3 linked regions of the Rattus norvegicus genome follow. The protein of the gene in region 2 interacts with the protein of the main gene of each other region in a pairwise test. Links are inferred from orthologs where the notes say so. Each region holds a gene or a part of one and is shown on either strand. Other genes may lie near its edges.

What was found.
Region 1: the proteins of Rap1gds1 (region 2) and Plekhb1 interact in binary tests that used the Homo sapiens proteins (3 or more experiments, as listed by UniProt). The two-hybrid records come from large-scale screens. The link is inferred for Rattus norvegicus from reciprocal best matches to the Homo sapiens genes RAP1GDS1 and PLEKHB1.
Region 3: the proteins of Rap1gds1 (region 2) and Nras interact in binary tests that used the Homo sapiens proteins (3 or more experiments, as listed by UniProt). The link is inferred for Rattus norvegicus from reciprocal best matches to the Homo sapiens genes RAP1GDS1 and NRAS.

Annotation. Positions count from the first base shown.
Region 1 is NC_086019.1:164,415,106-164,418,759, forward strand, and holds part of Plekhb1 (pleckstrin homology domain-containing family B member 1), read right to left. Parts: exon of another isoform or gene 2,596-3,654; coding exon of another isoform or gene 2,455-2,595; intron 1,729-2,454; coding exon 1,624-1,728; coding exon of another isoform or gene 1,357-1,623; exon of another isoform or gene 1-1,356. Other genes in the region: Rab6a (ras-related protein Rab-6A), read left to right, coding at 2,455-2,595.
Region 2 is NC_086020.1:230,192,948-230,196,601, reverse strand, and holds part of Rap1gds1 (rap1 GTPase-GDP dissociation stimulator 1), read left to right. Parts: intron 1-425; coding exon 426-569; intron 570-1,078; coding exon 1,079-1,210; intron 1,211-2,205; coding exon 2,206-2,340; intron 2,341-3,512; coding exon 3,513-3,638; intron 3,639-3,654. UniProt on the Homo sapiens protein: Acts as a GEF (guanine nucleotide exchange factor) for the Rho family of small GTP-binding proteins (G proteins) that stimulates the dissociation of GDP to enable subsequent binding of GTP.
Region 3 is NC_086020.1:193,276,898-193,279,620, reverse strand, and holds the end of Nras (GTPase NRas), read right to left. Parts: intron 2,716-2,723; coding exon 2,556-2,715; intron 1,750-2,555; coding exon 1,630-1,749; 3' UTR 1,626-1,629; intron 1,220-1,625; 3' UTR 1,178-1,219; intron 1,101-1,177; 3' UTR 515-1,100; downstream 1-514. UniProt on the Homo sapiens protein: Ras proteins bind GDP/GTP and possess intrinsic GTPase activity.

The sequences.
Region 1 (3,654 bases), on a different chromosome or scaffold from region 2:
TAATCACCAGAAGCTTCACCCGTCCCCAGTACTGGGGATCAACCCAGCGCCTTACACATGCTGAGTATGTACTCCACCACTGAGAGCCCTAACCCAGGAGTTAGTCTTGAACATGCAGATTTCCGGGCTAGGGGTATATATAGAGTTCAATATTAGAAGCAGTATTTGCCTAGCATGTGTGAGGCTCCATGTTCAGTCCCCAGCACCACAAAAATATTTATATGCATATAAATATAGCATATGGGGCTGGTGAAATGGCTCAGTGGTTAAGAGCACTGACTGCTCTTCCAGAGGTCCTGAGTTCAAATCCCAGCACCCACATGGTGGCTCACAACCATCTGTAATGAGATGATACCCTCTTCTGGTGTGTCTAAGACAGCTACAGTGTACTCATATATATTAAATAAATCTTAAAAAAAAATAAATATAGCATAGTTCCTAGACCCCACCCAGGACTTAGGAGATTCCAGCACTCAGAGGATATCAGCATTTGTTGCTGTATGGTCCCTAAGTGGTTCTAAAACACAGCATCACTGAGTAAGAAGAGAGTTTGCAATTGACCATTAAGACCATAAGCTCCCATGTCGACTTATACCAGACCAAGCTATACTGAGCCCTGGAGACAGAGAAAGAGTAGGGGCCCATAACCTGTGTGCTGGCTGATCTTCATTGTCAACTTGACTGGACTTGGAGCCACATGGGAGACACACCTCTGGGGATGTCTGTGCTGTGTTTCCAGAGATTTAACTAAAGAGGAGAGACCCACTGAATGGGAGACCACTACCCTAGGGTTGAGGTTCCAGACTATTTTGAAAATGAAAAAAGCAGCCGGACACTGGCATTCCCTTTCCTCTGTCCAGATGTGAGCAAGCAGCCTCAAATTATCACCATGCCTGCCCCCGTGGAGGAGTATGCCCCCAAACTGGGAACCAGCAGAAGTCTTTCCTTCCTTCAGTTGCTTCTTGTCAGTTAGTTGATCATAGTGGTAAGGAAAGTAACGACTACACCTTGATTCCAAGAAACATCCAGGCAAGGACAGATCCAGACAAGTGCCTTCCTTTCTTTCCTTACTCATTCAGTGACCTACTTATGCCAGTCCCTTATGAAGGGGTTAAGGACAGACGGTCCCCATCACTGGGCACTGATTGAACACATGCTGTACACGAATTACTATACTGGGCTTCAACTGGGCAGAGCAAATGAGACCTGGTCCTTGCCTTGGAGGAAGTTCCAGTTCAGACAGGAAAGAAGCCAGGGCTAAAAACCAGTGGCAGAGGACTGTGTCCTGGATGACAGTGCCTGAAGCCCTGGGAAGTCCTCATTGAGGAGGTGGCAGGCAGCCTTTGAGGTAGTTCTTTAGGGATGAGGATCAGCTGGCCAGGTGAATGGAGAGACTGCATGAGAATCAGCAGGATGAAGCGAGAACCAGAGCAGCAGCAGCAGAGGGAACATTGAGCACAGGGGTGACGTGACAAGCAAGTCTAGCCAGATTTCATGGGCTGTGGTCCAGTGAGGAAAGGAGAGCCATTGAAGTCCACGAACACAGAAGGAATGGGACAGGAGGCTTTGGAGGCTCATCCTGATGGCCAGAAAGGAGGCAGGAAGGGCTGAGCTCACACTTACCCAGATCCGCCTCTCAACCTTACAGGGCTTCCATGAGAGGCTCGTACACCTGACCTTAGGGCAAACCCGACGGCTCCTGGGTGGGACGGTGGCTCCAGCTGGGGCCTGCTCCAGCCACAGAAACCCAAGAAGGGAGAGGGAGGGAGATGTCAGATGCCCTTTTCACCTTAAGAGACTAGGAGTTGTTACCAGGCCCCTAGCAGAGTCCTGGGACAGCTATGCCTGTGCTGGTGGGGAGGGGGGGAGGGGGAGTCAGAGACGGGGAAGGAGTGTCTGTTACTCGGTGAAGGAGCAATGGCCTCCTTCCAGCTCTCCCATCCCAGTCTCCAGCACATGGGGATCCCAGTTTCTTTACCCCACAACTCTAGCCTCATCTGTGACTGTATCCCCAGAAGCCTCCCCAGAGCGGGGTACAGGTCACTTCTGCATAGGCTGGAGGACAGAGAAATCCCACAGACACAGTTGTGGACATATAGACAACAAATACAAAAGCGAACACAAGCACCAGCTCTAGTAAGTCAGAGCCCAGAGAGATGTGTGTCTGGGGAGCAAAAGAGAGGGAGCATCTAGGGCCAGGCAGAGGTAAGGGGTCAGTAGGGCAGGCAGGTGTACAGGTAGAGAGGGAGCATGGAGGGCCAGGCAGAAGTAAAAGGTCAGTACAGCAGGCAGAGAGGGAGCAAGACAGCTTCATAGAGTCACAGAGTGCAGAACGGTCAGCCCTCACCTCCTTCCTTGTGCTGTCCTCAGTGCCACTGATGCAGGGGACTTGAGCTCAGAGGGTGCTTAGTCTGACCTGGCTCCCTCCCTGACGATTCTTGTTCTTTCTTCTAGCTTCCTACAATTGCCTCCCACCTGAGAACCCAAGGCTGCTCCCAATATCTGACTGTGGCCCTCAACTGCTCTGATAGCCTCCGAAAAATCAACTGCTCTGAGAGCCTCCGAAAAGAACCTATTCCTCCAGCTGGACTTTGAGACCCTTCCTGACCTGACCCTGATGACCTCAGAGGACGTCTCTCCAATGCCACTTCCTCCATGGTAAGCCTTCCAACCAGGCCAGACTCCAGCTATTAGGTGAACACATTTGCAAACATACACATCCCTCTTCCCGGCCTCTGCTCATGTAGCTCCTCCTACCAGCGCCAGCTTCCTCACTGAGTCCACTAACCAACTCTCTGCTGCAGGCTCCTCCAACAACTTAAGATTGTGAGACCTAAGGAGTCACTTCCAGTCCTTAGACCTCAGCTTCCCCATCTGTAAAGTGGGACTAATAGCACCAACTGCTACCAACCCCCAGTCCTTGGAGGATGAAATGACATAACCATGCCATGTGCTTAGCATAGTGCCTGGCCCTCCGCAGGAGGATATACCCAGGGGGGTTTTCTGTCTTCTCTGCTTCTTCCCAGTAGACTCTCTCTCCAGGTGAGAGAGGACTCAGCCGTTCCACAGGCGGAAGCAGCAGTTTAGAGTCTGGAGTCTGTCAGGTGGGGGCCCATGTTGGGCCTCAGGCAACTCTTCAAACCCTCACTTCCACCAGTCTCTAAGCATTCTCACTTTTACAGCCTAAATGCCTGTGCTCCTCAGCCTGTCAGTCAGCAAGGCTTAGTCCACACCCACATCCTGTTGCCTGGAGACTGGCCCCACCTCCTAGATGGTCCCTGGGTATTCACACTTAACCCCTTACTGTTTGCTCCCTACCCACCAGCCCACCGGCCTTTTGTGTTTGTTTTTGAGACAGGGTCTGGCTCTATGGCCTAGGCTGACCCCAGACTTTTAATAGGCCTGTCTCAGCGTCCCAAGTGCTGGGATTATAAGCACACGCTGGTTTGCAGACCAGCTCTTTGAAAATACAAGTCTGGCAGCTCGGTAAAGGTGCCTTTAATCCTGGGAAGCAGAGGCAGGAGAATCTCCAAATACCAGGTCAGCCAGAGCTACACAGAGAAAAACTCTGTCTCAGACAAACCAAACCAAACCAAAACCAACAACCCAACAACAACAACGACAACTGTCTGGAACTGTGAGGATGGCTCAGTT
Region 2 (3,654 bases):
CATATTTTAATTTTACATGACAAATATGTATGTGTATTATAGGCATGTGTGTATAATATACTATTGTCTTTCATCATAATATCTAAAATTATAGTGATACTGGTTGTTGTCAGACCTAAGAGAGACCCCGGATTTTTTGGGTGCTATAAGACATTTTAAGAGGATAGATAATTTCAAATAGAAAAATGAAATTTTTGTATAATTAGTCTGGACCGTCAAATACTTCACCTTGAAACTCAAGTGTTCAGAAGTGGGTTGTTGTTGTTGTTGCTATTGCTGTTGTTGTTGGCAGTGGTGTAGACGTGGGTGTTTTGTGTTTTATCTAAGTTATACATCAACTGATCTTAAAATACACTAGTTAAAATTCTTCAGGACAGGTCACTGTACCAAAGCTTGTGATTTCATTCTCATGGTTCTTTATTCAGACGCCATTAAACTGCAGCTGGTTGAAGCAGGTTTGGTCGAGTGCCTCCTAGAGATTGTTCAGCAGAAGGTGGACAGTACCAAAGAGGATGACCTTGCTGAGCTCAAAACTGCTTCAGACCTCATGGTTTTATTACTTCTTGGAGGTGAGTCTTGACTGCTGCCGACCAAAGGACATGGTCAGCAGGTATTTTAGACCTACTGTGCCTTTCGTAAACAACACTAGGCCTCTCCTTACTTTCCTGTCCTGTTTACTGTTACTGCAATGGTTTTTTTTTTCTTCTTTTCTTCTTTTTCTTTTTTCTTTTTTTTTTTTCGGAGCTGGGGACCGAACCCAGGGCCTTGTGCTTGCTAGGCAAGTGCTCTACCGCTGAGCTAAATCCCCAACCCTTACTGCAATGGTTTTGAAACCTTGTACACACCATGAAAAGTTAAGTCCCTGCTGTCTTCAGTACCTGAAGACCTGTCATGAGCACTGAAGGCAGGCTGGCCCTTGGAAACTTGGGCTACACAATTCATAAACTTCAGTGTCTAAATGCTACTAATAACCAATTACGAGATGTCTACTTTCCCCGTTGGATATCCACGTGGGAACATGGGTTTGTCACTCCTAATCATAGTTCCTTATTTAACGATTTGTTTCATTTCCCTGCAGATGAATCCATGCAGAAACTTTTTGAAGGAGGAAAAGGCAGTGTGTTCCAAAGGGTGCTCTCTTGGATTCCATCGAATAGCCAGCAGCTGCAGCTTGCTGGGGCATTGGCCATTGCAAATTTTGCCAGGAATGGTATGCACATTAGTTACTCCATGTGGATGAGACGTTCTGCATTTCTTAAGTGTCTGCTTATCTGTCACATCAACAGTGCTGCGTTCAGAAATGTCTACGTGTTGTTTCCTCAGTCCTTTAGAAGTCTTTACTGACTTACTAATATATGACATATTTTGTATAGCAATCTGAATTCTGATGTAGAAAGATCCGTGATCGTGTGGTGGTTTTGAATACTCGGTGCTTCAGGTTTAGGGACCTTGAGCATATCCATCTAGTGGGATCCTTCCCCAGTTACGTTATCTTGGCTGTAATAATCTGAGTATTCACTTTTGTGTTATTGCGTTATTTCCTTACATCTGTACTTACATATCAATAATCCTGTGGGTGTGCAGTATTTAGTTTAATAATCTTTCAAAGGCACTGGACCTTGTGAAATCTGATACTCTTGATAGCTAATCTCAGAACTCTTACTATGTCTAGAAAATATGGACTGTGTTTCTAGTTCAATTTGATTCCACTGTAAACTATTCATATATCACAGGTTGAGTGCCCCTTAGTCCAATATGCTTGAGACGTAAAGTGTTAGATTTTCTCAGGTTTCGGAATATTTATATAGGCATTAGGCAGTGTCTTGGCCAGAAGGCCAGCTCCCAAACATGAAATGTATCAGTTTCCTGTACAGTTGATGCATGTATCCTAAAATTCGTTTAGATGGTATTTTTAGTGCATCCTCACTGTGACTGGTTGACCACATAAATTCAGTTTCAGGTTCTACTCCCAGGGTCATATTTGTCATTACCCGAATATTTCAGACTTAAGGTTTTGCTTCAGGAACGTTTGACCTTACAGACGATCATGGCTGACTTACTTTGTCTTCCCTTCTCTTTAGAAGAACAATAGTTCTTTGGTAAAGGCCTGGTGTGGGTCAGTGGAGAGTGTAAAAGAGTTAGTGCCATAGGATACTTAGACACTTTTTTTTAACGAAGGAGGAAATTTGCCTTTGTTTTGCGTAGATGGGAATTGTATTCATATGGTAGACAATGGGATTGTAGAAAAACTCATGGATTTGCTGGACAGACACGTAGAAGACGGGAACGTGACGGTACAGCATGCAGCACTGAGCGCCCTCAGGAACCTAGCCATTCCAGGTAAGCAGCAGCATTTGTGTGGCTCATGGACCTCCCTGGCAGCACAAGGGGGAGAGCCTGCTGTGTGGTACCTGCCTTTAGTCCCAGCCCTTGGAAGGCAGAGTGGTTGAATGGTCAGTCTTATGTAATTAGTGAGTTCCAGGATTGCCGGGGCCACGTGGGTGTCTTAAAGGGAGAGGAGGGGCTAGGAAGAGTCTTTAAATTACTCATCTTGTTCCTGGCTAAGAAATGGAGACCATATGTTAAAATGTGTTTTCTGCGACAATACAAACCGATCTCATAAGACAGCTAGAAGAATTTATCACGTTTATGAGCGCCTCGATTTTCTTTAATGACATGCGTAAACATTCTTAGATATGTTCAGGTGAAGTCAGATATGACATATATGAACAGAGTCCACTAAAGAATCAGTATAAAGGTCGGGGGCTCTTTTTTGATTTTTTTTTTCATCCCATAAGCAGATACATAGTTTTGAAAAGGGCCTTGATGTATCTTTGGATCAACAGTTTTGAGCCATGGGGAAAACCATGCAGATGATTGCTGTTTAATTCTTTTATTCCCCTGTCGAAACTTAAACTTCTGACAAATCAGTGTAGTGACAGGAAGCCCCAATTGAAATGGTTCTGATTTGTTTGCATATCATCAGCGTCTAATAATGTCTGTCACATTTGTATTAGTACAGTTGACTCAAATACGGCAATAAAGAAAAGCACTAGAGTGAGTGCATGAGTATTTTACAAAATGTAAACATTTTCAGATTTATTTTACACATTTTCTAATTAAATGCTTTAAAATTGTGTTTAAAAAACCTAGAATGAATTATGACTGCTATGTTCCTGTAAACAGGATACTTACTTGCATATACCCAATCTCATGTTTTATTTGTGCCCCACACACACCTTGGGCAGGGGAGTTGAGACAGGCTGTATCCCAAGTTAGTCTCAAATTCAATATGTAGATTATAAGGACCTTGAATTTCTGATTCTCTTGCCTCAACATCCCACGTTCTAACTGCTGGCATAACCCAACATGCCCAACAGCCCCACCCTTAGCATTTCCAAATAGAAGTTATAAAATGGGGCCTTAACGCCAGTAAGTACCAGATGTGTGTTGAATGAATGTTCCTCGAGAGTGTTAACACCATTTTAACCATAGTCTCTTTTTCTTTCTAGTTGTAAATAAAGCAAAGATGTTATCAGCCGGGGTCACAGAGACGGTTTTGAAGTTCCTTAAATCTGAAATGCCCCCAGTTCAGTTCAAACTCCTGGGAACGCTAAGAATGTTAATAGATGCACAAGGTAAAGAAATGGTTTC
Region 3 (2,723 bases), about 37 Mb from region 2:
TTTTCCATGAAGAAACTATGCAGCAAAGATATAACCTGCCTGCTAATAACTATATTTAAGGTTTGAAGAATCATTAATCACAGGTATAAAGTAATAACATGCCAATTTTTACAGTATCTGACTAACTATAAATGGAGGGCTTCCTGGTATGAACCAATTTATTATAATGGAAGCTCATTGACTATTAGATTATCAGTAAGCTAGAAGAAATTACAAATATTTATAGGTGGTAACCTACTCCCCCCCTCCAAAAAAAAAAAAAAAAGATTAGCTAGAATTAAATGAAATTAGTCATAATCGTTTCAGTTCCCTCTTTCTCCTGGGAGAACCGCAAACAGGGAAACTGTCTTTGTGTACATATGTGTACATATATAAAGCATCTGCCATCAGGTAGATTCACCTTTCCCTCCAAGGTAGATGGCTCATAGTCACTTTCCTATACAATGGTTCTTGAAACATCTATTTCAATACGAACTATAACGGAAGCCTACAGAGCACTGTTAGGACAAGGCACTTTGTTGTGAACGTTGGATTTAATTGCATGCAGCTGAGAAGACTAGGGATGCACTTACGTCAGTACTCATGTTTGCATTTATGAATACAGAGCAGACGCCAGCTTATAGAATATAGCTGATCACATTGCAAATCAGGCAATCAGCAACACTAATTCTATTCTCGGGAAGAGATTAATTTTTGACATTTCCCCCAAAACTAACAAGGCCAAGTTCAACAGTTGGGGGCAAAGGGGGAAATCACCAGCAATTGTTACCTTAGAGCTTAAGAAACTGTTGACAACAGAATTGCTTGTCTATAGTTTGGTTCTCTGCATCAATGTAAACTGCTTTTCGGAGGACAAAGCCAGCTGGCAGGTGTGTTTGTTTCTAGGGGAAACCCAGGGCAGAGAACTACTGGGGAGAAACAGGTTCATTTCTCTGGTCGGACAGCCGAGTGAGGAGGTAGTTATTCTGAAGAGGTCTCAGGTTAGATGGCTGTGCTCAGTAACTAAGTTGGGGAAGCAGGAAGCAGGAGCTTCTCTGAGATGCAGAGAGCAGCAGAAACACGTCTCCTCCAGGGATGTCAGAACCAGGGCATCAGTGAGGCTGAAACAGAGACAGAAGGTAAGAGAAACAAGAGCAAAAAACTCAGTGTCAGTCAGGACATTTCGAACTTGTCCTACCTTGAAAGTGGCTCGTTTCTGATGACAGAACTTTTAAAGGGTCTAGAACAAAAGAACACCATGTCATTTAGTTTCTATAGTGTCAATCCTTAGTATGGTGTCTTCAATGTGTCCACTCCACAAACATGGCACATGCAGGTCTAAAATTCCTAATACTCAAAATAGGAAGCTGTCTGTAGAAGACATGCTGAAAGAATTAGATGCTAACACTCCCTGACAGGGTACAATGAGGAAAATTAGCCACCTAACATGGACGCTGGTACATGAATCACATCTTCTAAAAGAGCAGGAGGTACTCCTAGCTACTGAGCTACGTACCAGTAAAGCTATTTTCTAGTTGCAAATATATGAAAACTCTCACTTCAATTGCAAGAGTCAGTAGTGTTCACACTATTCTGAGCTGCCTAGTGCTAAGCAGGAGATAGTTAGGACAGGAGCACACACTCACCTTACTACATCACCACACAGGGCAGCCCCATACAGCCTTGAGTGCCATCCTCACTGCTGTTGAGCTTCTTCATCCGGTACTGGCGTATCTCCCTTACAAGCGTGTAAAAGGCATCCTCCACACCCTGTTAAAAGAAAAAGGGTAAAGAAGAACAAAACAAACAAACACTGGACAGTCCAACTTGTAAGCTCTCATTTCCACCTCTCTATGTGGATTTGATACTACTCAACAGCTCATTAACTGGGGGACTCAGGAAGACACTAAACCCAGCACACCTAGAGGACCCCACTGACGGGCTGATAACTGCCATGTTTTTTATAAAAAGCAAAGATAGTCCAACAAAGAGAAAAGGACAAGGTGGGGAAAGAGTACAGAACTGCCAATTATGAGAAGTCCCTCCAGTAAAGTTCCTTCCTCAGTAGTGGCAAGTGTTGATGGAAAAAAGGATTCACGCTTGACAAGTTTGTTTAATCTTGGAATAGTTGAGCCTGTTAAGGCAGAACTAGAAATCCCACAGTAGGGCTGCAGAGATGGCTCAGAGGTTGAGAGCACTGACTGCTCTTCCAGAGGTCCTGAGTTCAATTCCCAGCAACCACATGGTGGCTCACAACCGTCTGTAATGGTATCTGATGCCCTCTTCTGGTGTGTCTGAAGACAGCGACAGTGTGCTTACATATAATAAATACATAAATCTTAAAAAAAAAAAAAAGAAAGAAAGAAATCCCACAGTACGGTAGTGCTCCTTTTGTTTAGGGGAGCAGGGTTGGGGGACGAGGGGAAAAGATCAACAAGAAACAAAGACCAACCATACAGAAACCACTACCCCCAAAACTCATCATAACTAACACAGATTACATCTCTACCACACGTGACCAGTCACACATCTCTGCTTTAAACAGACACTCACACTTGCTCAAGTCTCTAGCATACCTGTCGGGTCTTGGCTGAGGTTTCAATGAATGGAATTCCATAACTCTTGGCCAGCTCGTGGGCTTGCTTTGTGTCAACTGTCCTTGTTGGCAAGTCACACTTGTTCCCTACCAGCACCATGGGTACATCATCAGAGTCTTTCACGCGCTTAATTTGCTCCCTAGAACA